5 linked regions of the Tribolium castaneum genome follow. The protein of the gene in region 1 purifies or fractionates together with the protein of each later gene. This does not show direct contact. Links are inferred from orthologs where the notes say so. Each region holds a gene or a part of one and is shown on either strand. Other genes may lie near its edges.

Region 1 (7,259 bases):
ATGTGGGAAGTACAATAAACAAGTCAAGGTCGTAATGTGAAGATTAGATATTTCCAAATTCTGTTATTAGATAATTTTTGGACTCTGATTTGGTTTTACGCACGGAAAGCTCGCAACAAAGCGTTGATGATCACAATTAATTAAAATTTATATTACGTTACTTTGTCTCATTTACCTTGATCAATGAGGTGATTCGAAGAACGAATGAGAAACCACAGTCTTCCTGTTTGTAATATTTCCATTCGGTTGTGTTCCGCTATAGTTCCGAGCTTTGAATCAAAATCATCCGTTTAGGCGTCAAACAGGATGCAACTCACCGCAAAACGAATGCATATATGCAATTGTCCAATTAATCCGATTTTAAAGATCAGGACTTGGTACTTGTCGAGAACTCAAGTGGTTACAGATTTGTAATTTTCTACACGTGTTTGGTATGAAAATATTCCGTTTTTTGATGCAAATTTTCCGTTTCTCTGAACGGTACGGCTGATTTGTGCAGTTGTCCACATCCGGTGGTTTGCGAACGTGTGCAAGCCCGATGGAAATAGCAAGAGCATTGAATTGTGATTGTATATAGCCTTGTATGTCTTGGACAGACGTCATCACTGATGTCGCAAAATTGCTTGGCGGGGCTGCAGACTTTGGATAATTTCAGTGACGAGTGATGGACATCGGAGGAATTTTGTTGCGTTAATCGACCGAACTAATGCTTTTAAAATTCGAAAATTTTTCAAAGTCGTTAAAAATAGATTAATTTTATGTTAAGTCATATTCGGAATTGATTACTTGGCGGTAAACAGCCGGTGTTCGAACCAAATTGTTCTAAATGTAACGTTTGGTTAAGGCTTGAATAGCCTTGATGCTTGTAATAAATGTCAAGTTTTTATCAAGATACTTGAAGGAACGGTAGCTAAAATCGCTCTTGAGGCACCAGGAGATTGACAGAAGTGATGCTAATCGTTGATAATCTTTGTGGACTAAATAAACTGACTTTGTTGTTTTCAGGGTTTTGGAAAAATTTTAATTAAAACTAAAGATTTTTCTCGTCAAGTGTGATCGTAAAGATAATGTAAAGTGATAGGTTTCGACATTTCGATATTTATAATAGCTTTCCGTCCCAATAAATTTTAATACGAATTTGGCTTGCGATAAGCGTATTGTTACATTGTATCTCTAGGACTATTAGTCTGAAGTATGGTCCAAATTTATCATCTGGTGATAGTACGACTATGATAATAACTATTCCGTTAGATTGAGGTCGTCAGACGATAGCAATTATTTTTGTACTTTACAATGCCTTAATTTTTCCCTTGAGTAAAAATCATTTTTATAATGTTTACTTTGTATAAGGTAATTGCAGTGTAACATTCCGTAAATATTTGGTTTGTAGTGCTATCCTCTACGGTGATTTGCAATAATGTCTAAGTAAGAATAATTAAAATAGTTGTTTTCCTTTTCGCACTTTGTTCATAAATAAAATCATCACTAAGACCAAGGTCTAGAAATGCTAAATTGCTCGAAGCTCCTTAGTATTTCGTGGAATTGGCTTATCAATCTCTTGTCTAATAGCCGGGATTGCTGTATTATTAACATGATTTGCATGTTGAAAAAACAGAGCTTTGATTTTTGTGTCGCTAAAACGTTACTTTTAGCACGTATTTCTTTAATAATGTGCTGCTTCTTAATTATAGTTTTCGTGGAAGCTGCGTGTCGTATTAAAATAAATGGGATCACACTTTCTCGATTTTAAGAATCAAGAATTATCTTATTTAATGTATATCGCGAATTAATTGAGGAATTGCCAAATGTTAGTCTTCCGTCCGAGTATAATTAGGAATAAAAATTTAAGTTTTGTTTTTATTTTCGTTCTGTTATACGTGAGTTCCAAAGTAAATGAGAAAAACCTTTCATCTTTTAACAATTTTTTTTTCAAAATTTAAATATGTAGTTAAGTTGACACTATCATCTAGAGATCTTTAAGAAATTCAAAAGTACAAAAAGCGTCTTTTTTGCAATAATTTTTGAAGGTTTCACTGTTCGAAACTAAATGAAAAAATTCATATGCTAAGAGAAAAATATAAAGTATTTAATAGGAAACGCTGATTTCTTCCCGACTATTGGTTTTTAAGTTATAGTAAAAGCTACTTTAGCAAAAAAGTAAATAAAAGTAGCTTATTGAAAGGGTTCGTAAACGCTCAGAGATAGAGGGGTTTCGAATACAATCTATTGGTTATTTTCTCTCACATTTGCTATGTTTTATTCATGAATCCCAACTGTTACTTCAATAACGTTATAAGCACAATTGAAGATTCGATAATATGGCTATTTGCATACCCATAGGGAGGAAAATCTAGAGACGAAATGTATGCTTTTTAACGAAAAGCTGTTGATAACAGTTAAAAAAATCAGTAAATATGATTTTCAAGTGCAAAAGATTAGATAAGCCACAAGACAGTACTTAAGCTTACGGTTAAGTTAGTATCACCTCGGCTAAAACATAATGTAGGTTAAATTCGCGTTTTTAGGCACGTGTCAGTTCAATATTTTGGTGTTTTATGAAAAATTTCTCCACTTTTAACGTCACTAATCGACAGTTAACTAAAATGGAGTGTAGTACTTTTCCACAAGACGGTGTCGCGGTTCAACAAACTTCACAAATGAGCCCTTACTTGGGAAATGTGAATTGTGCGACCAGTTATGGATTAAATAATGCAACCCTTGAACCGATTCCAAATCGACATAACAGTCGGATTAGACCTAATGGTCTCCTGGCTCGCATGGCCTTACCGTGCCAGTCGTCCTCCAATTGGGATTATACAGAGTGTTATAGTTATTATGCAGATGGGTGCTATAACACTTGCCAGTTTGTTGAATTTGGTGATATTGAAGACTTCATGTAAGTGGCGCAGCTGGGCAAATATGCCGCGATAACAGCGAGAAATAATTAAAAGCATTGTCTTGAAGGGACGTCACTTTACCGGTTGGAAATAGTTAATTTAATCAATTAGATAAAGGTTATGTAATCGATTTTCGTATGCAGAGGGCAAACTTTTGTAAGAAGAACACTTGAACTTTTATACAAATGTTCACCAATAGTTTAATTATGACAATTAATCAGTCCAATTAATTTTACTATAAATTTTATTGTTGCGGCAGTAAATAGTATAATTAGCCGATTGACATTAGAGGCTAGATTTTATCAATTGATTGTAGTTTAAGTGCCACTATTTTACTATCTCCACGGGTTTTTGTGTAACAATGGCTAGACAGTAACTTAAAAAAAAACGTAAAGAATCGCAAAAACACTTCCTAGGATTTATTAACGGCACCGATATTTTCCTTATTTTGTTTGTCTATTTTTTTAATTCAATTTTAGTTTATTGTTGTCTGGAAGTTTTCATTCAACAGGTGGTCGTTAATGTTTGCGGTTTTTTTAAAGTCGGTTGTAGAGGAAGTGGAATAAAAATAATGTCTACTTTGTCATTGTAAGATTATGCCAATTTTTATGAAAAGTTAGAAAGGAAAATAAATTAATGACTAGGCATATTTTTAATTATATGCATCGCTTTTATTTTTATACATTTTATTAACTTATTTATCACAATTATAAAATCACATGATTAGTTCGTTTTTTGTGGTATTCTTGGATTAAGTCCAGGCACGGGGTCTGTCATGTGTTTTCTCGCGAAACTTTCTTATGAGTAGTTTGGGCGAACACTTAATGATTAAATAATCAAATTTTAGTCGAGTGGTGGTAGGAGCCTGAAGAGTTGTGTGTTTATTTTAGCGAAAATGTTAATACTTGTTTGTTGCTTCGTTTCGCTTAATTTTGTTCTTATTCCAGGAATAATGAGAAACGTAAGGAAAAATCCAGAGATGCGGCGCGATCTCGTCGCTCCAAAGAAACCGAAGTTTTTACCGACTTGGGTAACGCTCTGCCAATTTCACAAGAACAGGTTTCGCAATTGGATAAAGCTTCCGTTATGAGATTGGCCATTGCATATCTGCGGGTGCGGGATATGATCACTTTGGGTAAAACGTTCTTCCCCAGTTTAAAATTCCGCTTATTTAACAAAAATTGCAGTCCCGGAAGCCCCGGAGCCCGACGACCACAAAATTTTAACCGATGAATCAATTTTCTTGAAAGCATTAGAGGGGTTTTTACTGGTGATGTCTTCAGAGGGAGACATTGTTTACATGTCTGAGAATGTCAGCGAGTATCTTGGAATTACACAGGTGGTTTGGAAACGTGAGATTTTGGGCAAGATGTTTGACTTTTTCTTCCAGATTGATCTGATGGGTCAGAATATTTTTGAGTACAGTCATCCGTGCGATCATGACGAAATCAAGGAAATTTTATCAACAAAGACCCGGGAAGAAACAGAGACGCCTAAGTCGTTTTTTATCAGGCTTAAGTGTACTCTTACAAGCAAAGGCCGATCGGTCAATCTCAAATCAGCGACTTACAAGGTACTGAGCTGAAAACTGTGCAGAGAAATTTTGCTAATTTGGTCAATTCAGGTCATCCATTGCACTGGTCACATAGTGCAAACTGAAGATGACGGAAATGAAGAAAATGCGAAAGGAACTTTGCGCCGATGTCTTGTGGCAATAGGACAACCTATTCCGCATCCTTCCAACATCGAAGCCCCATTACCACGTCAAACATTCTTAACAAAACACAGTTTGGATATGAAATTTACGCACGCTGACGATAAAATGTGTGTATTATGTTTACCAAAGTGTTAACGAGGTTTTTACGTAAATTGTTACAGAATGATGGATGTTTTGGGATACGATTCGGAAGATTTGGTCGGGAAATCGGTTTATGACTATCACCATGCCATGGATAGTGACGCGATTTGTTCAGCTTTCAAGTGTTGTAAGTATTTGATAAGAAAAAATTGTGTAATTTACAGCATTTGCACACTTGGTCTGGCAATTCAAAATAATCACTGCTGCGGTTATTAGACATGCACTGCGAATTATTTGTGCAAAGATTGGGCATATTGCAGTTATTTATTTTTAAAGCCGGGAGGAGCAAATATTTGGTGACGATTTATTTAGTTTTTTATACTGTCTTCCCATAATCAGAAATTGAGAGAAATTTTAAGTGTGGAAAACAAGCAGGAATGTTGCCTGAAATGCCCATAAAATTATCTCCCCATTTGGTAAATGTGTTTTCCTGTTTAGTTTGTTTTCAAAATATTTCACAAGTTTACACAATTTCGTATATTACGGTAGGAATCTTCTCTATTAGCAGTGTTGGTATGTTGCGTTAGGTGGCGTTTTTGCACCTAACTGGATTAAACTTTTTGTTTGATTTTCTGATGGAAAACAAATTTAAAAACAGGTCAAAGAACGCTCCAACAGTAATTCATATTAATTTTTTTTTAAGAAAAATAATCTGCTAAGGCCATCACAGTTTTCTTTAAGCGACTGAACGTTATATTTTTTAATAAATAAATAATAAAACTGTTGAATTTTGAACACAATTTTCCAGGTAATTGTTCAATTAAAAAGTAATAAAACTAAAGTAAAAAAATATTCGTTTCATTGAGCTATTTGTTGTAACAGTTTTCTTTAGCTATTGCTGGTATAAATCACCTTTAGCACGTGAATCAGAACAGGGTTTCAAACCATGATAATTTTTTCGTTATCTCGAGGAAGTTCAACAATTGGGCACTTACGTAACGTAATAAATCGATTATATTACATTTTATTGTTTAATTTGCTCAAAATAAAATCTCGATAAAGTTTAAAGCTGGTACTTACAATAGTAAATACATATTTTGTCAATTGATTTGTTTAGTTCATCGCAGTTTTTAGGGTTACGAAAAGTATTACTTGCTTACTTTTCGCTTATCTCCTTCAAAATCGTAAACGGTTGAGAGAATATGATGAGTTCTTATTTAACTTTTATCTATTTTTATTTATGTAAGAATGGGCTCATTTATTAAAATCACGCTGGGAATGTATGACTTCAGTTGTAAATTACAAGCTGTCTCAAATTCTTGGCAAAATGTTCATTTTTATTTTCGCAGATTCATAAATGTTGTTTGGAAGGCAATGAACGTGTTAAAGGAGTTAAAATTACACATGTATTTATTTTTATTCCCATACTTATAAATAATAATCTGAACTAATATTAAAATAAAACGTAATTTACAATGTTGTGTTTCAAAATACTCGGATTTGATAAATGAACGTTACATTAAGTGTGAAATAATTCCGCTACATTTATCATTTATACAGGAACCAAAACAGTGTACAGAAATCTTAAACATTTGCACTTGTGCTAGAATTTTATTGGGACTTGGAATATTTTGAAAGTAAAAGTTACAGCTTAATAATAAAAAGCGCAAACATTGCACAAACGACGATATAATTTGTGGTTACTTGAGAGTTGCCAGAATGTATTGAAGTAAAATTGGTGAACGTGTTATTAAAAACACTTTTACTACACGTAAATGGGGATTGATCGGTTTCTGATAATTTGACGGGGTCACTGCTCAAAGTTGTTTCATTTAAAACACGTTTAACCACACTCAAATCATTAAGCTTCGTATTATTGTATTTACTTAACACAACTAGCATTTCTGAAATTTTTATTTTAATGTTTGTCACTTAAGAGACTTTTACTTACGGTAACTTGTGTCGTATGTTACATTACGACAGGTCCAAATTACACCGTAATTGCTATAGTCTGTCGTGAGTATTTTGGCTGGGATGGTCTTATTATCTATGTGCATCTCACACTCCATGCCGTGTGGATTTTTTTGCGCCAAAAGGCACGTCGTATACTTATAGCCATCTTTTTTCGTGCCGCTGAAGCGCGTTACATTTGTGAAACTACCAGAAACGGGCGTGAAAAAATAAGTGGCACATTTATCCGGACTGCCATATTTCGCCACTTCGTACCATTTGCCCTGAAACTGAAAGAGAAAATGGTAATTCATTACACTCGATATTTACCTGATTGAGATTGAAATTGTAATTACTGATATTGTACGAGTTGCAAGGTCTGTGCACAAATTTTTCACCGGATGAGAAAGAAATTAACGTCAAAGTTAGCACGACAGTGTGCTTCATTTTGAATAAAATTTCTCCAGTGTTATAAAAGATAACGTTACACATCTTATACTCGTGTTCTGTGTCATCTTGTTTGTGTGAGAGGTAATTACTTCAGTAAACAAATGTGCAGATTTTATTGTTTGTTGAGTAATGGTGCTATCACCTGATTCTTTTGAATTGGAGCC
Region 2 (6,726 bases), on another chromosome or scaffold:
CTGGGGCAAAGTCCCGCCGACTTCGGTATCGTTCCCGCCCATGGTCTCCAGGATAAGACCAACATCGCCGATGGCCCCCCATTGAATGGCCACACCTGGGAGTCCCGCCGCTTGCCGCGCCTCGCAGATGCGCTCCATGGCGGAGTTGGCCATGCCGTAGTTTGATTGTCCGGCATTGCCCCGTCCGCAGGAAACGGACGAGAAGTTGACGAAATAGTCGAGATGTGGCGCTAGTGAACGGGAGGCGGCGTCCAGTTGTTTGCTGCCGTCGACTTTGGGCTTGCAGGCCGTTTTGTAGTCGGCTTCGGTCTGGTTTTCCATCATGGCGTCCCGGAGGACCACGGCAAGGTTGAAAATACCGCCAACTGGGCCCAAACCATTGGCTTCTTCCAGCAAACGGCGGGCCCCTTTTTCGGTGGTGGCATCAGCGGTGGAAATCAATACTTTTACGCCTGAATCGCGCCACCTCCTCACACACAGTGACTGGTACCCGGTCTTGATCCCACTGCGGGACGTTAGCACGATTTTGGAGGCACCACGTGTGATGAGCCAGTTGGCTAGTTCGAGCCCGAAACCACCCAAGCCGCCCACGAGGACGTAACTCTTGTCCGGGTCCATGTAGGTTCGAGGGATGGCAGTCACGGTCTTGGGTTTAGGGCGCTGCGCCTTGCGACTTTCCTCGTCCCGGATCTTGAGGACGACTTTACCGATGTGTTTGCCAGAGGCCATGAAACGGAACGCTTGTTCCGTCTGATTTTCGTTGAAAACGGTGCTTGGAAGCGGCTTCACAGCCCCGTTGGCAATGCCCTCGTTAATCAAACGGACGACTTCGCGCTTATCGGGACCGTCACTGTCCAGCAACGCGTCAAGGAGAATCCCATGGAACGTGGTATTTTTCAAAAAGATGCTCATACCCAGCGGCGAATTGTTCGAAAGATCGACTTTACCAATCTCCAAAAAGCGGCCCCCGATTGCCAGACACCGCACGGACGCTTGCAGCTGGTGATTCGCCAACGAATTGAGGACCAAATCAACGCCACGGCCATTGGTTTGAGTCAAAACCATTTGTTCAAAGCTTGTATCACGCGAATTTCCAATACAGTCGTCGTTAAGTTGCGGGAACGTCTTCTTGAGGAAATCCCTCTTGGCTTGACTGCTCACTGTCGTGAAAACCTTGCAGCCCATGTGGAGGGCTATGGCAATGGATGCTTGCCCCACACCACCGGTACCAGCATGGATGAGAATCGACTCGCCTGGTTTCATGCCACCGCGCACAATAAGGGCGTAGTAACTTGTACCGTAAACCACTGGAATTGTTGCGGCTTCCTCCAAACTCCATTTCTCCGGGACTTCCCATAAAAATCCAGTGTCGGCAATCACAGTAGTTGCGAGACTCCGTGCCTCAACCATCCCCATCACTCTTCGTCCTTTACTGTCCCGTCCCGAGAATTCCAAACCGAGGATGCAGTCCTGTCCGGCCAAATCGCCAGGTAACGCGTCCGGTGGGAGTTTCCCAGTCGCTAGCATAATGTCACGGAAGTTAAGAGGGGCGTAATAGACGTGGCAAAGCTCGGATTTGGCGTCACCGCCTTTGTAGTAAGTCAAGGGGCCTTCGATCCATCTCAAACTGGACAAATCACCCCGAGTCAGAGTGTTAATGTAGGCGTGTTCCACTTGTAATTTGCCACCGTCGTGGTCATGGTCGAGCAAAATGTGTCTGAAGGAGCCCCAGACGTTCTTTTTCAAAACATTATGGACCAGATCTTTTTTCAATTGTTGTTCGTAAGCTGACAGGGAAAATTTCGGTGCGTTTGTGTCCTGGATGAAGACGGCTCGGATCCCAACACCGCCTGGCTCCTGTTTCAAACAATTGACCATTCCGACTAACCCAGTGAGTTCTTCCCCTTGGACGTACAAGTAGATTTTGCTACCGTCACCTTCACTCTTCTTCATCGCGTCTTTGACAGGTTCCACCCACGCGAAATTATTTTCAGTGATTTGGATTGCAGTTGAGTCAGAACGAACATCGACCGGTTTTCTCAATAAGACATAGCTTTTCGTTGGCGTGACTTGAGTACTCACTACGATGAGCTCCGTTGTTGACAATTTGCCACTGTTAATGGCCCCTTTGGGTTCTTCCAGAAGCACGAACCCGCCGTCTTTGATACAGTTGGCGGCATTTTCAATCAAATTAATTTTGCCGTGTGTTAACGCATCGGTTAGCACGACAAGGTGCAAGTTTTGATCGATTGGATTGGAACTAACGTCTTTGTGGACCACTTTAACTCCACTGCTTTCCAAAGCTGCGCTATCAATTGAATCAGAGGTTACTACAGAGGCGTCAACTGCAAGCATAGGTTCCCGTTCGAGGATATCTTTAACACTTGGTGCTAGAATCGCTTCGACCGGTCGTCCACTCACAACTTCGGCCACTTTGAGTTTCAGGGCCCCTGAGCTGTTTTCGAGCACCGTTTGCAAAAGAACAGTAAGGGCATGCGTTTTAGCCTTGTCTTGATTCTCGCTGAGTGCTGTGTTATTTTCAAAAGGCACGAATTGGTATTTTTCCAATTTGGGTGGTGATTGTGCTTGTTGGCGTCTGGGGGCCAAACTGGCCTTCATTCCGCGGAGCTCAATACCCCCTGATTTGATAACCCCAATATTGCGGTACATGTATACACTGGGATCTTCCTCTTTGAGGCCATTGAGGTACTGGAGGTGTTCCTTGGGGTTGATCACACATCGTTGCAGTCTAGTCGGGAGGTAAAGCTCGCGGGTGTTTTGCCCCAAGATGGAGAATTGGAGCATTGTATCGATGTAACTGATCCAGTTGTTGCTCCATTTGAGTTTTCCGGCGATTCCTTTGTTGTCGGATTCGGCAATTCCGCGGAAAACTCCGTCGTAGTCGTAACCGCGTAGTCGCAGTTCTTTGTAAATGTCGGCGGTGTTCAAGGGGAGTAAGTCTTTGGTTACTTCAGGGGTGGGTTTGGGCAAGTGCAGGAGTTCCTTGGAGACGTCTTCAGGGACGGAAATGCGGCCGGAGACGGCAACGGAACCACTTTCACACAGTTCGAATTCGCCAGTTCCTTCGAAAATGTTGATGAGGAATCGGACAGTGCCCTCTTTTGGCATGATTGTCGCGCGGTGGAATTGCACATCTTCGATGATGACGGGCAACTGCTCGTAGTCCTCGTTTCGCAGCTTGGCGAAGGTTTTCCATACGAGGGTCTAAGGGACAAAATAAAGTCAGTGTTAAAAGAATTATTTTTTACATAAAGTTGGTGTTTTAGATAGTTATAACAATAAAATTGCCACTGCTGACTGATATCTTGTCAAGAACAAAGTGTCTATTGAAAGATAAATTATTTCTAATGGACTATAGGTGTTAGTTGCGTATCTTTACATTTACTTTCAGCAAACTCCAAAACTTACTTTACGGCTGGTTAATTTTGTTTTACTGATTCTTATGCAAAATTTATAGAACGTACCAAGTAACCCGTGGCCGGGAAAAGCACCCTTCCCTCTATCGCATGACCGGCCAGGTACTGGTCATCTTCTTTGCTCAAATCAACTTCGATGACCAATTCCCCAGACCTTGAGCCCTTATCGCAGAAATTGGCCACGGCCCATTCGGTGGAGTGGTCCCACTGGATCATGGATGCGATCATGGGCGTTCCCTTACCGACCGGGAAGCTTACAGGGTGGTACAAATTGCCAACTTTAGGCTGGGCCCCAGCATTGTAAATCCTAAGAAATCGTTCAAAAATCTAAATTTTTACCAAAATTTTCAACTCACCGTCCAATTGCCGAAGTCAAAAACTCCACATTGTTTTCGTGCATCCGTTTCACCAGACTGATATTGGTGGACTTGGGCCCAATGGCACGCTTGAGGATACCTTGCAAAAGCCCAGCTGGTGCGATTTCAATAGCAATGGCGTTCTCAGGGACGTGTTTAAGCGCCTCGTGGAACAAAACGGGTGATAGGAGATTATTAACGTGATAGGCCGCTGAGCTTTGCTGTGCGAGAGGTGTGCCCCAGGCCGATTCAGGGATCGAGGACGAGATCCAGCGTGAGGTTCGTGGTTTCGGGTTAGGGATGATCGCCTCCAAGGCTTTGCGTAGCTTGGGGCCACCCTCGGCTATGTATTTGCTGTGGAATGCGATATTCGAGCTGTTGACTTTCTTGGCGAAGATATTTTCGGATGTTAATTGATCTACGAATTTATTGACGGCGTCCAGAGGTCCGGAAATTGTAACGTTGTCTTCGCTGTTGTGACACGCGGGGAACACATCAGGCGGGCAACGCCTCTTGGCCTCCTCCCATGTCAGGCCGACCGCAGCCATCTGTCCCGGGATTAGTTTACTCTCGATGATGGCTCTGCCTCTGGCGTAGGCCGCCAGGACGGCCTGTTCGGCCGTGAAAGTCCCATCGGCGTAAGCACAACCGACTTCGCCCACCGAATGCCCAACGATACCATCGGGCTCGATTTCCAAAGCTTTGAGGACGTCGGTTAGAGCGACCTGCATGGTGGCGATTGACACGAAGGAGTTGAGGACATTTTCGAAAGTCGCCTCGGTTCCATTGACTATAATATCCTCCAGGTTGATGCCGTGGGGTTTGAGGATTTCAGCGCTTCGTTTGATCGAGTTTCGGAACACTTCCACTTCCATCAGTTGCTTGGCCATGCCGGGCCACTGCGACCCCATCCCGCTGAACACGAACCAAACTGGTCGCTTCTCATTCGAGACTTCTGTAACTTCGCGAAGCGCCGGGTTACTGAGTACCGTAAACCCGCGATATGCGTGTCCAGTAATGTTACTTTTATGGATTTGGTCGATTAGAGCCAGGAACTCTTCGTCGTTTTTGTTCTTCTCGACATGGTCCAGGAACGTGTTTACCGCCTCAGGGGTGCGTCCGGAGACGCCCACCACTCGAGGAAGTGGGTCCGTGGGCCAGGACGCCTTCGGCTTTGGGTTCGATTTCAGGATAATGTGAGCGTTGGCTCCGCCAAACCCGAACGAGTTAACACCAATCAGCCCGCCTTTCCAGGGCTCGTTTTTCGCCACGACTTTAAGTCGACCGTCTAAGAGGGCGGGAATGTCGGTATTTGGCGATTTGAAGTGTAAATTTCCGGGGATCATTCCGGACTCCATGGCTATCACGATTTTGGCTAGGGAGCAGAGCCCGGACGCCGGTTCCGAATGCCCCATGTTGCTTTTAACCGAACCGATCATGAGCGGTTCTTTGCGGTTCTTGGTGCAGAAAAAGTCAGCGATTGAGTTGACTTCCTGGGGGTCGCCCACTTTGGTGCCGGTGCCGTGGGCCTCCACGTACGAAACCTCATTGGGGTCGACCCCAAACTCGGCATAAGTCTCTCGGATGAGCTGGTTTTGCATGGGACCGGCCGGGAATGTAATCCCCTGTTCCTTGTAACCGTCTGTGTTTATTTTGGCCCCAAGGACAGTAGCATAGACCCGGTGCGCAACACTGGCTTTTTGCAGAAAGACAACAACTGCGGCTTCCGACCTCACGTAACCATTCCCAGAGGCATCAAATGCCTTGCACATGCCTTGCGGACTCAGCATGCCCAGTCGGTGGAATTGCAACGAAGACGTGGGTTTTAAGAGGAGATTAACACCTCCAACTATGGCGGCATCACATTGCCCGGTTTTAATCGCAGTTATGGCTTGCTGTAAGGCAACTAAACTACTGGAACAGGCCGTATCTAGAGCATAACTCGGGCCGCTGAAGTCAAAAGTGTAGGAAATTCGGTTCGAAAACATGGCCCGGCAGCAGCCGGTCAGGCCGTAGCCGTTGATTTTGTCGGGGTCTTGGGTCCAGTATTCGGACGACTCGCTGTCGGAAACCCCGATAAAGACCCCGGTTTTGGAGCCCTTGATGTCGTTGGGGTTGACTCCGGCGTCCACGATCGCTTCGTAGGTCAGTTCGAGGAGAAGTCTGAGCTGGGGGTCCATCACGGTGGCCTGTTTGTGGTGGACGCCGAAGAAGGTGGCGTCGAATCGCGACAAGTCTTTGAGTTTGCCGGTGCGGGCCGGGAGGGTGTAGAGACCTGAAGGCCATCGTCGTGCATCGTCGGTTACTAGATCGACACCATCGAATAATTGTTGCTTGAATTCTTCGATGTTGCTGCTTTCCGGCAAACGGCCGGAAATTCCGGTGATGACGATGTCGTCGCTGATTGCGTTTACGTGGTGGCCGTTTTGTGCATCGGGGACTCGGGCAGGCATCGTGATTAATAAATTAAGTTCTGAAATTTTTCAACAATAACTTCACAATTTTGCAACAATGGACGAGGATGTGACGCGCAATTGGCTCATAAAGAAGTCGTAGAAACTCCGAGCGGTTATTTTTATTTGAGGCGAGCTTCAAAACTGATACGCTATCAAATCAAATGATCATAATTTAGTGTGTTCTTCTTAAAGTTCAATTAAATATCAAAATAAATGTAAATATTTTTTGACTTTGACATTGACAGGGCATGATAACAAATTCTCTTATTCTAGTTTAACTTTCGGTTCTGTCGTTCCTTAAACTGTAAATTTTTTGGCGTATATAATTACGAGCGTAACAGAAATCGCGTAACGGTTCCCACAATTATATTTTTAAGTCGATGTTTTGTGAGTACACTTTGCAGTTTTACAAGACTTGACACTATTTCCAGTCGTAAAATTTTATGGAACTTGATTAAAGTTCAATTGGGAAAATAA
Region 3 (4,012 bases), on another chromosome or scaffold:
GGACCATCATGGGCATGACTATACCACGACATGGTCATGCTGTTGCGTATGTTGGTACCCAGATTTTTATCATGGGTGGTGTCACAACCATTTATATGAGATGTCTATCCAACATTGAGTGTTTTTGTTGGAAGCGAGGTAAGTGAAAACTAAATGAGAAAGTGGGTGTCAGTTTATGAGGGAAAATCATAAAAAGCTGGTTACTCGGGAGAAATAATATACCTCAAGAGCTTGTCTGTTCTCTCTTATTTCACTTCATGAATTTTTAAATGAAATTGGAGAATAACTCGGAATAAAGAATTTATGAATTACAATACCTAAAAAGGCAGAAAATAATTAACTTGAGAGCTTAAATTATGGAAAACACCCGATAGCAAGAACAGACTTGTGTGGGCGCAAGAAATAATTTGTCGTCGTGTACAGAATCCAACAAAGTTGGGAGTAATTCTGATTTAAGATAATATAATTCAGAGTCGAGCGTTTTGTCACACCATTTCCATACTTAACTTTCTAAAACTCATTCCAAGTCGTAAGTTTATTATTCACGTTTTTCACATATGAATGCAAATGCGGGGACTTTCATACAAAAGCGTGCAAAGTTTTTAAAAATCTCCACATTCTCAATGAAACAAACAACTTCTATTTTCCCCATTTACAGTGCGCCAAGTTTGCGTTGGCTTAATCCAAAATCCATACTACATTATGTAAACTTTGTTTTCGTCTCACATTACCCAAACAAAGCTTAATACCGCTTCCGTAGTGAATAAATTATTAAGCTTCATAGTCTAGCCTGATAAAATGGCAACGTCGCACTGTGTGAAAAGAAAATTGCAACAGTGTTAATTTTTTAGGTGCTTGGATAAGGGGCATTGCCGATTTACCGGTGACCTTATCAGGTCACGCTGCTATCACTCTTCCTCCCGCCATGCTAATTTCAAACGAATAAGTGATAAAAACAGGAAACAATATTTGATGAATTAAAGATTCCTGTCGTGGGCGTTGAATGAGTGCGGCATCTGATTGGGAGATGGCGCCGCGCTACTTGAAGTACTTTTACACCATAACCATAGTTTAGCTTTAGAAATTATAAATTTAGCGTTTTTTTATACTCTAATGTTGTATTTAAAAATGTTATACACGACCGTACATTTGCTGCTTTTTTGATACATGAAATAAAGATTTTTACCTTAAAATCAATGATTTTTCCCTTTGACATTTCAGCATCTTGTAAACAGGTCTGCCAGCCAATCTGATATTTGTGATTGGGTGCGGTGTTGTTGTGTTCGTTATCGTATATTATCGTAATTTAAAGGGAAAAAGTGATTTTGTGGCGCAAGGTAAGTTATTTCGGTGTAAAATTATCAATTTCATTCATTTGTAAGTGTGAGAGTGAGTTTTTTGTGTGGTTTGGCCAAGTTTTAAAAATGTCGATGAACTGTGTATGACAACATGGATCTCTTTGTGAGTGGGTGATTCTGATTCTGATTTAGTCCGATGTCTGATCGGTTTGTGATTGCAATCTTTGGAAATTGTGATCGTTACACAAACGAAGCGTCTGGTGTTTAATTAAATGTTTCGGTTTGAAAGCACGTAACGATTCCTCATCCGGCAATTCCTTGTCACTGCTCGAAATTCCAATGAGATTGGTCATGAGATTCAGAGAATTCCATGTTTCAGGTGTGGTGTGGTAATTCGCCATGAGTTACTTACAGTCCAACCCGAATAGACCCAGTAAGTTGCATTCTTGTATTTTAATTGTTTGGTGTTAATTAATTATAATCAGTGTGTGAAGGTTTCGTAAACACTTATTGAGAGAGGTTTCCAGTTTGATAAACATCCTTCAAATGTAAGTTTATTCGGTTACAGTCAAAGGTTACAATGAGAATTCCCTTTAAAAACCATTCCAGATGGTGTGTTTATAATTGGATTGTTAGAAGAAGTTTATTTCCTCTGCAATAATTCATTGTTTGATTATTTTCCACTTTTTCTTGTGGAGGTTTCGGTATCTATGACCCCAGTTGTGACTAAGAGCCTATTATTCATACAAATCATACATTCTCATAAAAAAATTAAGAAAAAATTTGTGTATAATACATGGGCTTTCTTTACTCGTTCTAGAGAAATAATCTTTAAGGAAGTACCATACTATTATATTTTATTACAATTTAATAAGCATATTTATTCCATTATTAGTTAGTACAAGATCTTCTCTTACATAGAAATAAAGAGTTCTTAGAGTATATTCAACATTTAGCAAGTATTTGACCCTTTTTTTGACTAGATATCAGTCTAATAAGCCTACAGAACATGATTGTATGAAAATATTGGAGTCGTTTTCCTAAAGTGAAAACTTTTTCTGTGTATTTGGTGATCTTTCCGAAAGTAATTTTGCTGCTATCTCGTATTTTTAGTATCTTTTATTTACATGTATTCGTTCTCCTGAGTAACTTTTTAACCATATATTAGATACGTGGTTAGTATTGGTATGATTCAATGTTTAAATAAAATACAGATATGTTGATAACGATAAGCAATATACCTGAGTAACGGTTTTGTACGCTAACATTGAAAGAAGCAAGTGTTTAACTGTTTAAATTGCAATTGAATTTTCTTACTAACTCTACAAAGTAGGTACAATTTATTTTTGAATTATTACTTATTTGGTTACAGTAGCATAGTTTATTTTAGTTTATTCTTATATTCTAGTTTATTCCTATGAAGTTACAAAATTGATTTATCGTGTATGCCAAAAGTTGCGGACAGGCACTTACGGCTGAACTATCCGAAGAGGAACTGTTCAAGCAAACGCGTAAACGCAAAATTTGTAAGTTCAAATTGCTTGAAAAAAATATGTTAACTTTCTGAGAACTTTAGCAACAATATACATCCATTTGAAAAAAATTGTTAGTATCATTTAAAAATAAAATGAAAAAACCTCAATTTTTAGTCATTTTATTTTTTTAATAAAAAATGGTACTATATTTTTTGATAATTTTTTTTGTGGGTATTTTATGACTTACTTGTAATACTGTATTTTTTCATACTATTTGAACTTTAGGTTTTTCCATAAAAGCATTAAGATTATTACGCTGTTTACCCCGTTATAACTTGGTTACAAATATTTAAATCGAGATAAGAACTGGTCCATGAGTAATATGTTAACCTAGGAACAACATCCAATTGTAAAAAAAAACAATTTTGTTTATTATTTTTCTTAAAAAAATTTCTCAAATTAGTGCATTCGCACGGCCACGTGGACCGTGAGTCCAGTATAGTTCAACCTTAAGAGCTATACAAAAATAAAATTAAATAAAAAGCGATACAAAAATTCACAAAACCTTTCGTTTTGTAAACAAAAGTTGAAATAAAAAACAAAAAGTGACAACGTCGTAAGAGAATACTTTATTGTTACTTATTTAGAAAAATTGTAACCAAAAGTATTATCATAGTAATATTTGTTATTGACTGCACCTTTAAAATTGTGTTTTTAACTCATTTCAAAAACCAAGTGAAATGTTTTCTTACAATTTTTTTGAAAAAAGTTGGATAATAAATCAAGTAAACATTAAAATATACCATTTTTTGTTAGTAACAATTTTACGCCTTCTTTTTAACATTTGAATTCTAGATTACACTATTTTAAAACACGCTTTCTAAAGCAACGTGTTTTAAATTAAAATGTTCCAACAAAAAAATTGAATAACTTTGGCAGCTGTTTGGAAATAAACGGCCAAGTTTTATAGTTATTAATAATACGAGTACAAAAACACAAGCTTAATGTTCTCTGGTGTTTAGGTATGCAACTCGCATACGCTCGTTGCATAACGACAGCTCTCGAACATTAAGCTTGTGTTTTTGTACTCGTATTATTAATAACTATAAAACTTCATTTTGTTCATTTCCAAACTGCTACAAAACATTTAAAAAATCCCATGCTACTTTGTCTGAGTGAAAAAAAAATCAACCACACTCAGGGATTATCAAGTAAAATAACTAAAAAAAGATTAGGAAA
Region 4 (6,726 bases), on another chromosome or scaffold:
TATGCTAGAAGGAAAGCGAAGGTCATCTCGTCTGTTGATACGCCATCTTGCTCTTCTTTCGACTACTCTATTTCCAGCATTTCGCATCGAAATCTCTCGCTTCTCGCGATAATAACTGGGATAGGTTTCAAGCTCACACATGGATAGGTTTCAAAAATATAAGGTCATTCGTATTATGATGTAACGGTAGTAACAACGTAGCGCAAGACGCAGCAAACACAAAACACACCTGAGATTAAATTCGAACTTGGAGAGTTTTCTGATAACGGCGGAAATAAGCCTCGTGTTACATAATTGCGCGATTTTCAGGTGCGTGATAACATTATAAAAGCGCACAATACGCATTCCTGTGCTGGGAAAATAAGTTTATGGTCGATTGAGCGAAATTTTCATCTATGCCGATTGTTAAATATTCATTGGCGGGACATAATACTTTGAAATGTATGCAAAATGAGTGTTTTGGCACCGCAATTGACTTGTAGATTGTCTATGGCAAAAATCCCACCGTCTTGCATAAACAAATGACTCTCGTTTGTGTGAATATTGGCAAGAGTTCGAGTCCGGCCCTGCACATGAGTCAGTTGTTTTGTTTGATTGAAACAAATCTAGTTTTTCGCGTGATTCGAGTCGAAAATCGCACATTTTGGCAGTTAGGGCTTCTATTCCACATCCATGTAATTAGTCGCCGAGACGCCTATTTTTAGATTTTAAAATTCTAGGCGCCTAAGTCGGACGTCGAACCTTTTGCCGAATGCACAAGCAAAATAATGAACTTATTTACACTTCTAGCGTCTTATTTATTTGTTTTATTGCTCCACACGTGCGGACCAACTTAATTAAACCAGAAGTGAGCAAGAGGTGTTACCCTCGCCAACTGCGGGACCAAATTTCGAGTCAGCTCATTTGAGCTGTTTCAAACTGGAACAAAGCAGTAGCTAATTAAGAAATTAGCCCTGTTTGTCTTAAAGAACTATTATCACTAATTATTTGTGGTGCGCTCTATTTATTTTAATTCTGTTACATGGTTACGGTCTCGCGTCGGGAAAAATTCGGGCCTTCGTCGGCCATGAAAACTTCACCTCCCGATCGTGTATGAATGAATTAATTAAAAGTAACAGAATACGTCTGTTATGGTTACGAAACGTACAAATCCTTTCACAACGATGGTGGACTTCCGTACGAATTATTAATCCAGTGTTTGGCACGGTCGGCCATTTTCCATGATGGCGTCTGTTTGTATTTTTTCCCAGTGAGTTAACCTTAACCCGTTTAAAATTTACCGCTATTATAAATAAATTCCCAAGCTCGCGAGTTTTAAATCAGTTTCCTATGTTCGCAGCAAGGTGATGAAAAGCCATCCCGCGTCCCTGTTATCAAATCACAAACAAAGGTCCTTGACATTTAAAATATGTCGCTGAAGTACTGTATTTTATTTATGTGTAGTTGAATAAACTAACGGAGCTAATGTCGGCTAAATTTCTCAAAACTTGTAGATTGAATTTAAATTGGAATTTAAAATTTCTGAACGTTTGTACAACATTTCTCTGAATAAATTAAATGTTCTGTTTTTACTTGAAATAAGTGTGGCTATATTGTGATATTTTTAGTTTGTGGCGGTATTTTTATCCCGGAAAACCATTGGCGTCGCACAACATGTGACGGGGAATTCGATAATTAACTAAATATGGACTTTTACCAAATCGCACTTTCTTTTCCACAATTGCCTCATTAAAAACCGCGCAACTTATCGATATGTAATAGGCGTGAATTTTTCATTTAGTGGATAATTGCGTCAGAGGCCGGGTTCGAGCGCCGGCTAATTTGTTATTATCAGCTGCTACATCCACTTTCCATGTGATCGCGCTTATCAGATTTTTCGTATCCTGTTGAGACCCATCGAGGTTTTGGGAGTAAAGTTCAAACTTCACAGCATCTAGATTAATGCTGTGTTTTGGTTAAATTAAAATTGATTGGTGGTCTTAAATGGTATCTGACGCATTGATTGTTGAATGTATTTTTCAGAGAGGCAAGTACACGTAGGTATGTGGTGGACTGTTATTAAAATCCACCCAGATGTGGATTCCACTCCTAGGTATTCTCCATTGTCTCGATTGCAAACACGGGTCTTTATCCCAATCAATTATTAGAAAGTAAACGCGATATAACATATCTTTCCTTTGTAACATTTTTAAGGTCATCGCATTCGAGAATAAATAATAAATAGTTGCTCCTTAACAAGAATAACAATTTACAGTTAGGTGCCGTATAAATTTTTCCAAATGATTAACGTCCACTTTTGACCAATTAATTAACAATTGCGCAAACTGCACTGATAAACTCCTGATTAAGGTAACGCTGGCGCCACTGATTCCCACTTGCCGTTGCCGAAATACAAAGCGACGCCATGTTGCCGTTCAATTTACATAATATGATAAAGCAAAACTTTGGCTAATAATAGAGATTTATTTTATTGGCACTGGATCATATTTTCTCCTATTTTCAGTTTTTACAACCACGTGTCACTTCCTGTTGCCTGGCTTGGCCTTTAAAGGTCGATATATCCATGTATCATTGAAAACAGGTAGATTTCTACTTTTTCAATGACTCAGTGCCATTCATTTCGTCTTCCAAGAATATTTGGCAAATCGTTTGTAGAAAATACGTTTCAAGAAAACTTTCCAACTCTCCTCATTGATTTCACCGAACTTCACATTTTTTCTTTCTTTCTTTCGCATTTTCAAATTAAATTAAATCAATTAAATGGGCATGTATTAGGGTGGCTCAATTTCACTCAATGCCAGGTCAAGGGGCGCTCTTATTTACACTACTGATAAAGTTAAAAATAAAACAAGTGTTGCGTTCGACCAAAAATCGTGTGAACCTGACTTTTTCATTACTATTGCATAATTGATTGTAAGGCTTAGGGATAAAAATATTTGCTCGTTTTATGACGTGGCTGTTTGTTCTTTTTTAAATTTATTACCTTTGTCAAGATTTCATATCGCCACGGTTTAATCTTTCCGTGGAATAGAGATAATCAAGTGTTTGTTGTAGCACTTATCAATTAAAAAACGAACAATGGGGGATTATCCACTTTCTGTGTGACGTTTCACGTAAATGTTTGTTTTCCAAACAAAATAAATTGCTGATCCTACTACTAATCTGTATTTTAGCCATTTGTCTGAAAGTAAAAAACTATTACTATTTTTTGTTATATAACGTCTTTATTGTCTATGTGGCTTTTCTCGAAATTATTTGTTATTCTACATTATGTATATTTACACTTCTTTTTTCTTCTTTTCCTTCACCATTTTCGTTTAGAACGTCTAACGTCTCCGTCTCTTCTCCACGTAATCTGCATATTCTGTCTCAATCCATAATTCCATAATTCGTTCTCCCTTTCCTCACTTCCCCTTTTTATCTTTACTTTCCATCTTACTTAAGTATTTGGAGAGTTCATCGTTAATAAGCATGGCATATTTTGCGTTATACCTCAATTCTCTTATGCTTGTTATTTTTCCCTGCCCATCTATGTCCGCATCTCTCAGTTTCAGTTCATCTTCCATTGTTCTTCCCCTTTCTTTCAATTTCTATACACGCATACCCCTTCTTCCATAATTCTATCCATCTAACATTTTCATTTGATGTTTTCATTTCTGCTCCGAATTCCTAATTTCTCTTCAAATTTCACAGCTCTCTTTCCTGATTCCTCTCTTACTATGTACCCCGGCAATTAGCGCTATCACTCATTTTATATACTTTTTCACCAAGCTATCAAACATCATTCTTCTCTTGTATTTTCACCAAATTGACGTTTTCCCAAGCTCCTAAAACCTTATTTGCTCTTTTGGAGCTTCTTTTATATGGGCTGTCTGACATCTTGCTATTTACTACATAACCCAAATACTTCAACTCTTTCACCTGTTCTATATTTTTTCCTTCCAATTGCCACTCATCCTTTTTCCTTTCTATTTTTTTTTTCCAAACACCATCATTTTTGTTTTATCTACTTTTACTTTACGTATCTTTTCATTATTTTTATCATTTCCTTCATCTCGCTCTTGCTTTTTGCTACAATCGTCTGCAAACGCCAGGATTTGCACTTTCTCTCTGCCTATACTGTTCCACCAACTTGTGCCTTTCTTAGAACCTCGCCTATGTCCCCTAGGCCTGATAAGAATAATGCAGAGCTTAACGAACAACCTTGTTTCTTCACCAATTTTTATTTCTTCATAAATTTCCTCTTATTCTTCTCACCAACCACTTGCACACCTTTGGATTATTTTGCTTATCATGCCTCTTCCATGCATTTCTGCTCTTAGTCTCTCATCTAGTAAACAGTAATATTTTTCGCTTGATGTTTGTCCCCTTTCTTGTAAATTGGGATAATTAGTCCTTTTCTCCAATCCTTGGGCAGGTAAAAAACTGAAGGTTTTTGTTGGTTGCTTTATTACGTACTGAATAAAGATTGGTGATCTTGAACGTTATTTCGGATAAACAATGAAATATTTTGGCACTGTGGTGGACTCTTGCGAATACCGTGGCTTTTGTTTTAAGTTAGAAAATGAAATTCTCCTTAAAATTCAATTAGTTTCGCATCTTTCTCCACTTTGGAGCGGTTTAAGAATGCCATTAGTTTGTTGGTCGGTAAAACCCTTTCGCATTAGTGGCAAGCACATTGTTTTACGTTGGAATTGCGTTTGCAGCCACATAACTCGGACCACAACTTGGGAAGACCCGCGAAAGTCGCTGGCTGCGCAAGCGGCAGCCCAACAACACCAAAGTGCCGAACAGCTTTTAAGTTCTCATCAGGTGTCGCAGGCCCAAGCCCCCAATTCCACGCCCCGTAAGTAGTTTCGATGGTTCTGCCAAATCTGGTACAATTTGATGATAGAGCCAAATGCAGTTCAAAAAAATCCAAAAGTGGCAGCTCGTGCCTTGTTGAAAGTTTTGAACTCCATTTGCTGATTTGCCTGATCCTGATAATTAAATTGGGGAAAATGTTTTCTCTAGCTGCCAAAGTGAGTACAGACGTAGATTTAGGCCCTTTGCCTGAAGGTTGGGAGCAGGCACAAACTCCTGAGGGAGAAATTTATTTCATAAATCATCAAACACGTACTACTTCGTGGTTTGACCCTCGAATTCGTAAGTTAAGCCACACGGGCGGGAAAGGGGCTTTTTCGATCTGGGATTTTTTTTCCAGCCACACATTTGCAACAGAGATCTCCCGGCACGGCTTCGGTTAGTGGGCAGTCGTGGCCAAGTGGCTCTTTGTCGCAATCCTCGCCGGCTAAACAGCAACAGTTTCGACTACAACTGTTGCAATTCGAACGTGACAGACTGAAATTGCGACAGCAAGAAATTCGAATGCAACAGGAACTTATGATGCGGGGGAGTTCCAACGACTTAGCGCTAGACCCCTTTCTGAACGACCACTCCAGGCAGGAGTCCGCCGACAGCGGCTTAGGTAAATTTTTTGATTGTTGGTGGGTGTTTTCGCGGCGCGGAATGTGCGAGAAATGTTGTTTTGCTTTGTTTACACCGATATTTCCAAATGATTATCATTTCATACTGAAAAAGAATGTGCGAAGCTTTAAATTTGGCTTGGCGCCATTTTGATCAAGAATTCGGTGTTTTCGTTGATCAATAGCGTTCTGGTCACGCAATTCTCCCCTAAGGGTTATTGACTTGCAGGTTTGGGGACGACGTATTCGATGCCTCACACGCCGGAGGATTTTTTTGATTGTACGGAGGATTTAGTGCCTTCGCTCCAACTGGGCGAAGAGTTCCCGACTGATTTGGGCGAGGAGTTCCCGACTGTCATTTTAGACGATGATGTACAATCGTTAATAAATCCGCCGACTACGAAGCCCGACAATGTGCTCATTTGGTTGTAATAAAGTGCCTACTTAAGTAGCTCAGCTTCTACGAATGTTTTATATTGATAGAAATTTAAGACAAAGTTTGGCAGTTGGATGGTAAAGACTGTCGTCTGTATCGTTATTTTGCAATATGTACCATTTGAATACGCTTTAAATGGCAATAATAATCAAAACATATTTTTAATGTTATTATAATTTTACATTTATCGCATTTGTAATTCTCAAATCAGTTACTGTTGGGTATGTTTTTCATACATATGTATTTTATAGTTTGTAATTTTTAAGTTAGAGTTGTAGTTTATGGTGCAGATGATATTTTGTCAGTTTTGGTAAGATATCGATCAAATTATTGAGTACTGAACGCAAAATTCAATATTTATTTATTGTTGTATTAGAGTTAATTATTTAACAATTTTTATTTATGTCATGTATAACTTTTAACCTCTGTTCCAAATCTAACGTTGTGATAATGTTTTCGCAAAATTTTATTAATTGGTAGGAATACTTAACTGTATCCCTATTTAATTTTACTTGTTACTGTATGTGCAATGCACCCCTGCTCCTCCCAGGACCAGACTTGTTGCATCGCGAAGGATTCAACTCGTATAAATATGCTCACACTGAACTAATCCCTCCATTTTGTGCCTTTAATTGGTAACGTATATGTATATATTTTATTGACAACGGTTACTTGTAGTCTTAGTTTTACAATTTCTAAAATATATTTTACACTAACATATTGTAACAGTGCCTTTCACATTTACTCTAGTGTTTAAGTGCTTATTGTATCACCACCAATTGGTACAGCTGTGATTAAGAATCAGAAATTTTGGACCGTTTACAG
Region 5 (6,270 bases), on another chromosome or scaffold:
ACTTTGTTTTTTGCTCAAAAATGAGGTAAACGGTGTAAAACAGGGTAAGATAACATTAGTTTTGATCTAGTTTTGGTGATTTCTTAGTTTATTTATTCGAAAAACATTGTTTCTAACTAAAAACGTACTTGAAAGCTTGAAAATGTCAAAATAATATAATTTTTTGTTCAAAAACTTGCCAAAAAGCCGCGAAATCAACCTAATAATGCTGTTTTAATAAAGTTTCGCCTACAAACGAACTAAATCAAGTTAAAATAACATCAGTTTCAATATAATTTGGTGGTTTTTCTGCAAGTTAATTGGAAAAAAAAAGTTTTTAAGTTAAAATACGTGGTTAGAGGCTTGAAAAAGCACAAAATAACTCGATATTTTTCGTCTAATTTGGTGATTTTTCGAGATTTTGTTAAGTAAAATTTCTGATATAATGGATTTTTGACTAAAAAACGAGCGAAATTTTCGAGGAATGCAAACAGAAAGTCACTTTTGACTTTCTTTTTTGCTCAAAAATGAAGTAAATCGTCTTAAATAGGCCAAGATAACATTAAGTTTGATCTAGTTTTGGTGATTTCTTAGTTTATTTGTTCGAAAAACATTGTTTCTAACTCAAAAACGTACTTGAAAGCTTGAAAATGTCAAAATAATATAATTTTCGGTCTAGTTTCGACTTTATTTTGTTTTTTTTTTTGGTTTTGGTTTAGTGAAATTTTGAAAACACCTAGAAATTTTTGTTCAAAAACTTACCAAAAAGGCGCGAAGTCAACCAAATAATGCTTTTTTAATAAAGTTTCGCCTTCAAACGAACTAAATCAAGTTAAAATAACATCAGTTTCAATATAATTTGGTAGTTTTTCTGCAAGTTAATTGGAAAAAAAATGTTTTTAAGGTAAAATACATGATTAGAGGCTTGAAAAAGCACAAAATAACTCGATATTTTTCATCTAATTTGGTGATTTTTCGAGATTTTGTTAAGTAAAATTTCTGATATAATGGATTTTTGACTAAAAAACGAGCGAAATTTTCGAGGAATGCAAACAGAAAGTCACTTTTGACTTTCTTTTTTGCTCAAAAATGAGGTAAATCGTCTTAAATAGGCTAAGATAACATTAAGTTTGATCTAGTTTTGGTGATTTCTTAGTTTATTTGTTCGAAAAACATTGTTTCTAACTCAAAAACGTACTTGATAGCTTGAAAATGTCAAAATAATATAATTTTCGGTCTAGTTTCGACTTTATTTTGTTTTTTTTTTTGGTTTTGGTTTAGTGAAATTTTGAAAACACCTAGAAATTTTTGTTCAAAAACTTACCAAAAAGGCGCGAAGTCAACCAAATAATGCTTTTTTAATAAAGTTTCGCCTTCAAACGAACTAAATCAAGTTAAAATAACATCAGTTTCAATATAATTTGGTAGTTTTTCTGCAAGTTAATTGGAAAAAAAATGTTTTTAAGGTAAAATACATGATTAGAGGCTTGAAAAAGCACAAAATAACTCGATATTTTTCATCTAATTTGGTGATTTTTCGAGATTTTGTTAAGTAAAATTTCTGATATAATGGATTTTTGACTAAAAAACGAGCGAAATTTTCGAGGAATGCAAACAGAAAGTCACTTTTGACTTTCTTTTTTGCTCAAAAATGAGGTAAATCGTCTTAAATAGGCTAAGATAACATTAAGTTTGATCTAGTTTTGGTGATTTCTTAGTTTATTTGTTCGAAAAACATTGTTTCTAACTCAAAAACGTACTTGATAGCTTGAAAATGTCAAAATAATATAATTTTCGGTCTAGTTTCGACTTTATTTTGTTTTTTTTTTGGTTTTGGTTTAGTGAAATTTTGAAAACACCTAGAAATTTTTGTTCAAAAACTTACCAAAAAGGCGCGAAGTCAACCAAATAATGCTTTTTTAATAAAGTTTCGCCTTCAAACGAACTAAATCAAGTTAAAATAACATCAGTTTCAATATAATTTGGTAGTTTTTCTGCAAGTTAATTGGAAAAAAAATGTTTTTAAGGTAAAATACATGATTAGAGGCTTGAAAAAGCACAAAATAACTCGATATTTTTCATCTAATTTGGTGATTTTTCGAGATTTTGTTAAGTAAAATTTCTGATATAATGGATTTTTGACTAAAAAACGAGCGAAATTTTCGAGGAATGCAAACAGAAAGTCACTTTTGACTTTCTTTTTTGCTCAAAAATGAGGTAAATCGTCTTAAATAGGCTAAGATAACATTAGTTTTGATCTAGTTTTGGTGATTTCTTAGTTTATTTATTCGAAAAACATTGTTTCTAACTCAAAAACGTACTTGATAGCTTGAAAATGTCAAAATAATATAATTTTCGGTCTAGTTTCGACTTTATTTTGGTTTTTTTTTTGGTTTTGGTTTAGCGAAATTTTGAAAACACCTAGAAATTTTTGTTCAAAAACTTACCAAAAAGGCGCGAAATCAACCAAATAATGCTTTTTTAATAAAGTTTCGCCTACAAACGAATTAAATCAAGTTAAAATAACATCAGTTTCAATATAATTTGGTGGTTTTTCTGCAAGTTAATTGGAAAAAAAATTGTTTTTAAGTTAAAATACATGGTTAGAGGCTTGAAAAAGCACAAAATAACTCGATGTTTTTCTTCTAATTTGGTGATTTTTCGAGATTTTGTTAACTAAAGTTTCTGAAATAATGAATTTTTGACTAAAAAACGAGCGAAATTTTCGAGGAATGCAAACAGAAAAGTCACTTTTGGCGTTGTTTTTTGCTCAAAAATGAGGTAAGTCGTCTTAAATAGGCTAAGATAACATTAAGTTTGATCTAATGTGGTGATTTTCTAGCCTTATTATTCGAGAAACCTTTGTTTTAACTCAAAAACGTGCTTAAAAGTTTGAAAATGTCAAAATAATATAGTTTTCAGTCTAGTTTTGAGTATTTCGTATTTTTTATTTTTCATTCAACTTAAAATAACTTAAAAACTCGATCTAATTACGTGATTTTTCCGTCCGTTTATTCGAAAAAACTTTGTTTTAACGCAGAAACGTGCAAAAAATACTCGATTTTCGGCGAAATTTGATGATTTTTTGACTTATTTTGTAAATTAACGACCGAAAAGGGAAAATCATAATATAATTTCCGAACTAGTTGGGTGTTTTTTAAGCGATTGTCGAAATTTTAGTTATAAAATGTACTTAAAGGCTTCAAAAACTTAAAAAAAACTCATTTTGGCGTATTTCTGAAGTGGTCGTTAATGAAATTTTGCGAAATATGTAATTATTTCTGACTTAAAAGTAATCTAAAACTTTGATCAAGCCAAAAAGGCCAAAGCTATCGGTTTAGTTCGTAATTTTTCGCTTTGTTTTTGCAAATCTTGCGTAAAAATAACACCATTACCGACCAATTTTTTTGACAAAATTTCGCCTAAAACGAGTGTTTTTTAAAGCTCTTATTTAACTTGCTTATTGTCTTATCTGTCTGTTTAATTTTTCTGACACAAATTTGCGAGAGTTCGTGTTATTCGAATGTGCTGTAATCTTGCATACATACGTAATTTTGAATGATTTTTATTTTTCTAACAAAATTTTTCACAATAATTGAAAACAGGTGCAGGGCTACAAGAAAAAGGGCCAACTGCAACTGTACCAGGAGTTATTTGAGGAGCCGTTCCTCAAAGAAAGCGGCGAGCATTTTAAACGCGACGCTGCCAAACTTTTGCAAGAGAAAAACGTCTCCCTGTATATGGAGCGCGTCAAGGGACGAATTGAGGAGGAACTGTTACGTGCACGTCGCTTCCTCCACACCAGTTCCCTCCCGAAAGTCTCCCAACGATGTGAAACACACATGGTGGCCGAACATTTGGACTTTTTATACAGCGAATGCGTGGCAATGGTACAGGGTGAGCGCAAAAAGGACCTCTCAAATATGTACGATCTGCTCAAAAGCGTCCAAAATGCAATGGTTGTGCTTGTTGATACCGTTCTGGACCATATTAAGACGCAAGGATTGACGGTTTGTTGCTTTTACACGAGTGGTTTACCGATTTAGGGATTTTTTTATTGTTGTTCTTAGGCTGTTGGTAATATTGATACCGAAAATATTCACATAACGTTCGTCGAAAATATGCTAGCGGTTTATAAAAAATATAAATTGTTGATTCAAGAGGTGTTCAAGTCGGATCAGAATTTTATGGGGGCTTTGGATAAGGCCTGCAGTTCCGTTATTAATCACAAGTTTGGCAAGCCTGTGTGTAAAAGCCCCGAATTTTTGGCCAAGTATTGCGACGCATTGTTGCGCAAGTCGAGTAAAGGGATTAGCGATTCGGAGGTAAGTTTGATTTTTTTTCTTACTTTTACTTAAAAACTTTTATTGTTTTTATTTATTTACTGTTGAAGAACTGATTAATTTTAAATAACTTTGTTGTCAAAAGTTTTATTTTGAGATTATTCGTATTATTTATTATACAGGGTCTCGCAAAAAAGTGCATTAAAAATAAATTATAAATAAATAAATAAAAACACAAATCAATACGAAAAAAAAAACACTCACCTTAGGCATCTACTTCTGCTACCCTTTATAGCAAGCCTCATCTTCATACACGAACTTACTGAAATTAAAAAAAATCTATATAATTATGGTAACAATAAAATTAATCTAAAAATACGAGTAACTGGTTTTATGTAGAAACTGCACTTAAAATAATTGAGAAGATTATGATTTTACTTATTTATTTATTAGATATTGTTGTGAGTCAAGGCTATTTATTTAAGTTAATCCTCAAAAAATAAAAAAATGAAAAAAAAGTTTAATGTACAAACCAATGAAACTAAAATTACAAAAGAAATAAATTAATTATATAAATTAAATGTTTAAACTGCTCATTTAATTATTAATTATTCAAAAATTCCGTGTAATTTTAACCTGGGACGTCATTAATTTAATTTAATGTAATTTTTCTGTAAAAAAATTTTTCAAACTAACCCTTTAATCCGGATCCTTGTAACACGATTTCAGAGATCTATTCCAATTGGCATTCACTATAATTAAAAAATCGCGCACTATTTATTTAAACACAAATTTAAAAGTTAGCAAAATGTTGATTTTTTTAATTTAATTTCTAAGTTTATAAGACGTCCGTACGCGACACTAGCAAGTGACAAACTGATTAAAATAAAACGGCACATCCGTAATAATTGTGTAAGAATATCCGGATAAAACGTCACTAACAAAAAAAATATTATCTGCAAACGTGTGAACAAAGAGATTTGGTTGACTCATTGGTTGTTGTTACGGCAGTTAAAGTTAAATTTTTGAAAATATTCCTTGCTGTAAATTAATCTCCCAACGTTACAAATCCATAAAATTTGGAATTTTAATTTAATTTTTTTAATAATAATAAATAAAAAAAATTGGAAAATCAAATTTTTAAAATTCGATTTTCCTGTTCGTCAGGAAAACTCAAAAAAATTGTTTCCCGCGTTGGTCATGAAAAATAAAAAAAATTGTATACCGCGTTGGTCATGAAAAATAAAAAAAAATGTTTACCTCGTTGGTTATGAAAAAACGATTATTTCCAGGTGGACGAAAAGCTCGCCGAGAGCATAACAATTTTCAAATATATCGACGACAAAGACGTATTTCAAAAATTCTATTCTCGAATGTTGGCCAAACGCCTCATCCACCAACAAACGCAAAGTATGGATGCGGAGGAGGCCATGATCAATCGTTTAAAACAAGCATGCGGTTACGAATTTACAAGTAAATTGCATCGAATGTTTACCGATATGTCAGTGAGTGCGGATCTCAATAATAAATTTAACGCATTTTTGAAACAAGACAACATCGACCTCGGAATTAATTTCAGTATATACGTATTACAAGCAGGGGCGTGGCCATTGGGCCAGACGGTGACCACGCCTTTTACGTATCCTAGACAACTGGAGAAGAGCGTACAAATGGTGAGATGGTACACATGTGGGCGTGGCTTAAAATGATTCTCTTACAGTTTGAAAATTTCTATCATAATAGGTTCAACGGTCGCAAATTGACATGGTTGCATAATTTGTGTCAAGCGGAATTGAAGTTGGGCCATTTGAAAAAATCGTATCTAGTGACAATGCAGACGTTTCAAATGGCCACTTTGTTGCTGTTTGAACACACGGATTCGCTCACTTTTCGCGAAATTAGGGAGAGTTTGCAACTAACCGCCGAACAGTATCACAGATACGCGGCTAGCTTGATTGATTGTAAATTATTGATAGCGGATAGTACGGTAGGTTGGGCATGGGGGCGT

The links.
Region 2: the proteins of hypoxia-inducible factor 1-alpha (region 1) and FASN1 purify together in Homo sapiens (affinity purification with western blotting; 3 studies listed by BioGRID and IntAct, with this or other methods). This does not show direct contact. The link is inferred for Tribolium castaneum from reciprocal best matches to the Homo sapiens genes HIF1A and FASN.
Region 3: the proteins of hypoxia-inducible factor 1-alpha (region 1) and armadillo segment polarity protein purify together in Homo sapiens (affinity purification with western blotting; 7 studies listed by BioGRID and IntAct, with this or other methods). This does not show direct contact. The link is inferred for Tribolium castaneum from reciprocal best matches to the Homo sapiens genes HIF1A and CTNNB1.
Region 4: the proteins of hypoxia-inducible factor 1-alpha (region 1) and yki purify together in Homo sapiens (affinity purification with western blotting; 3 studies listed by BioGRID and IntAct, with this or other methods). This does not show direct contact. The link is inferred for Tribolium castaneum from reciprocal best matches to the Homo sapiens genes HIF1A and YAP1.
Region 5: the proteins of hypoxia-inducible factor 1-alpha (region 1) and Cul2 purify together in Homo sapiens (affinity purification with western blotting; 7 studies listed by BioGRID and IntAct, with this or other methods). This does not show direct contact. The link is inferred for Tribolium castaneum from reciprocal best matches to the Homo sapiens genes HIF1A and CUL2.

Annotation. Positions count from the first base shown.
Region 1 is NC_087396.1:19,215,493-19,222,751, reverse strand, and holds the start of hypoxia-inducible factor 1-alpha, read left to right. Parts: upstream 1-2,512; 5' UTR 2,513-2,555; coding exon 2,556-2,896; intron 2,897-3,844; coding exon 3,845-4,032; intron 4,033-4,084; coding exon 4,085-4,236; intron 4,237-4,287; coding exon 4,288-4,470; intron 4,471-4,521; coding exon 4,522-4,721; intron 4,722-4,775; coding exon 4,776-4,882; intron 4,883-6,087; exon of another isoform or gene 6,088-6,599; intron 6,600-6,646; exon of another isoform or gene 6,647-6,935; intron 6,936-6,975; exon of another isoform or gene 6,976-7,161; intron 7,162-7,259.
Region 2 is NC_087394.1:32,849,280-32,856,005, reverse strand, and holds part of FASN1 (fatty acid synthase), read right to left. Parts: intron 6,267-6,726; 5' UTR 6,247-6,266; coding exon 3,794-6,246; intron 3,745-3,793; coding exon 3,486-3,744; intron 3,226-3,485; coding exon 1-3,225. UniProt on the Homo sapiens protein: Fatty acid synthetase is a multifunctional enzyme that catalyzes the de novo biosynthesis of long-chain saturated fatty acids starting from acetyl-CoA and malonyl-CoA in the presence of NADPH.
Region 3 is NC_087395.1:16,174,428-16,178,439, forward strand, and holds the start of armadillo segment polarity protein, read left to right. Parts: upstream 1-1,212; 5' UTR 1,213-1,337; intron 1,338-1,372; exon of another isoform or gene 1,373-1,461; intron 1,462-1,677; 5' UTR 1,678-1,697; coding exon 1,698-1,731; intron 1,732-1,783; exon of another isoform or gene 1,784-1,846; intron 1,847-2,516; exon of another isoform or gene 2,517-2,627; intron 2,628-4,012. Other genes in the region: uncharacterized protein LOC660622, read left to right, coding at 1-138, 852-946. UniProt on the Homo sapiens protein: Key downstream component of the canonical Wnt signaling pathway.
Region 4 is NC_087403.1:7,360,724-7,367,449, forward strand, and holds part of yki (transcriptional coactivator YAP1-A), read left to right. Parts: intron 1-4,706; coding exon 4,707-4,846; intron 4,847-5,013; coding exon 5,014-5,145; intron 5,146-5,203; coding exon 5,204-5,467; intron 5,468-5,694; coding exon 5,695-5,897; 3' UTR 5,898-6,726. UniProt on the Homo sapiens protein: Transcriptional regulator with dual roles as a coactivator and corepressor. Critical downstream regulatory target in the Hippo signaling pathway, crucial for organ size control and tumor suppression by restricting proliferation and promoting apoptosis.
Region 5 is NC_087401.1:15,830,311-15,836,580, reverse strand, and holds part of Cul2 (cullin-2), read left to right. Parts: intron 1-3,584; coding exon 3,585-3,989; intron 3,990-4,049; coding exon 4,050-4,304; intron 4,305-5,554; coding exon 5,555-5,935; intron 5,936-5,982; coding exon 5,983-6,249; intron 6,250-6,270.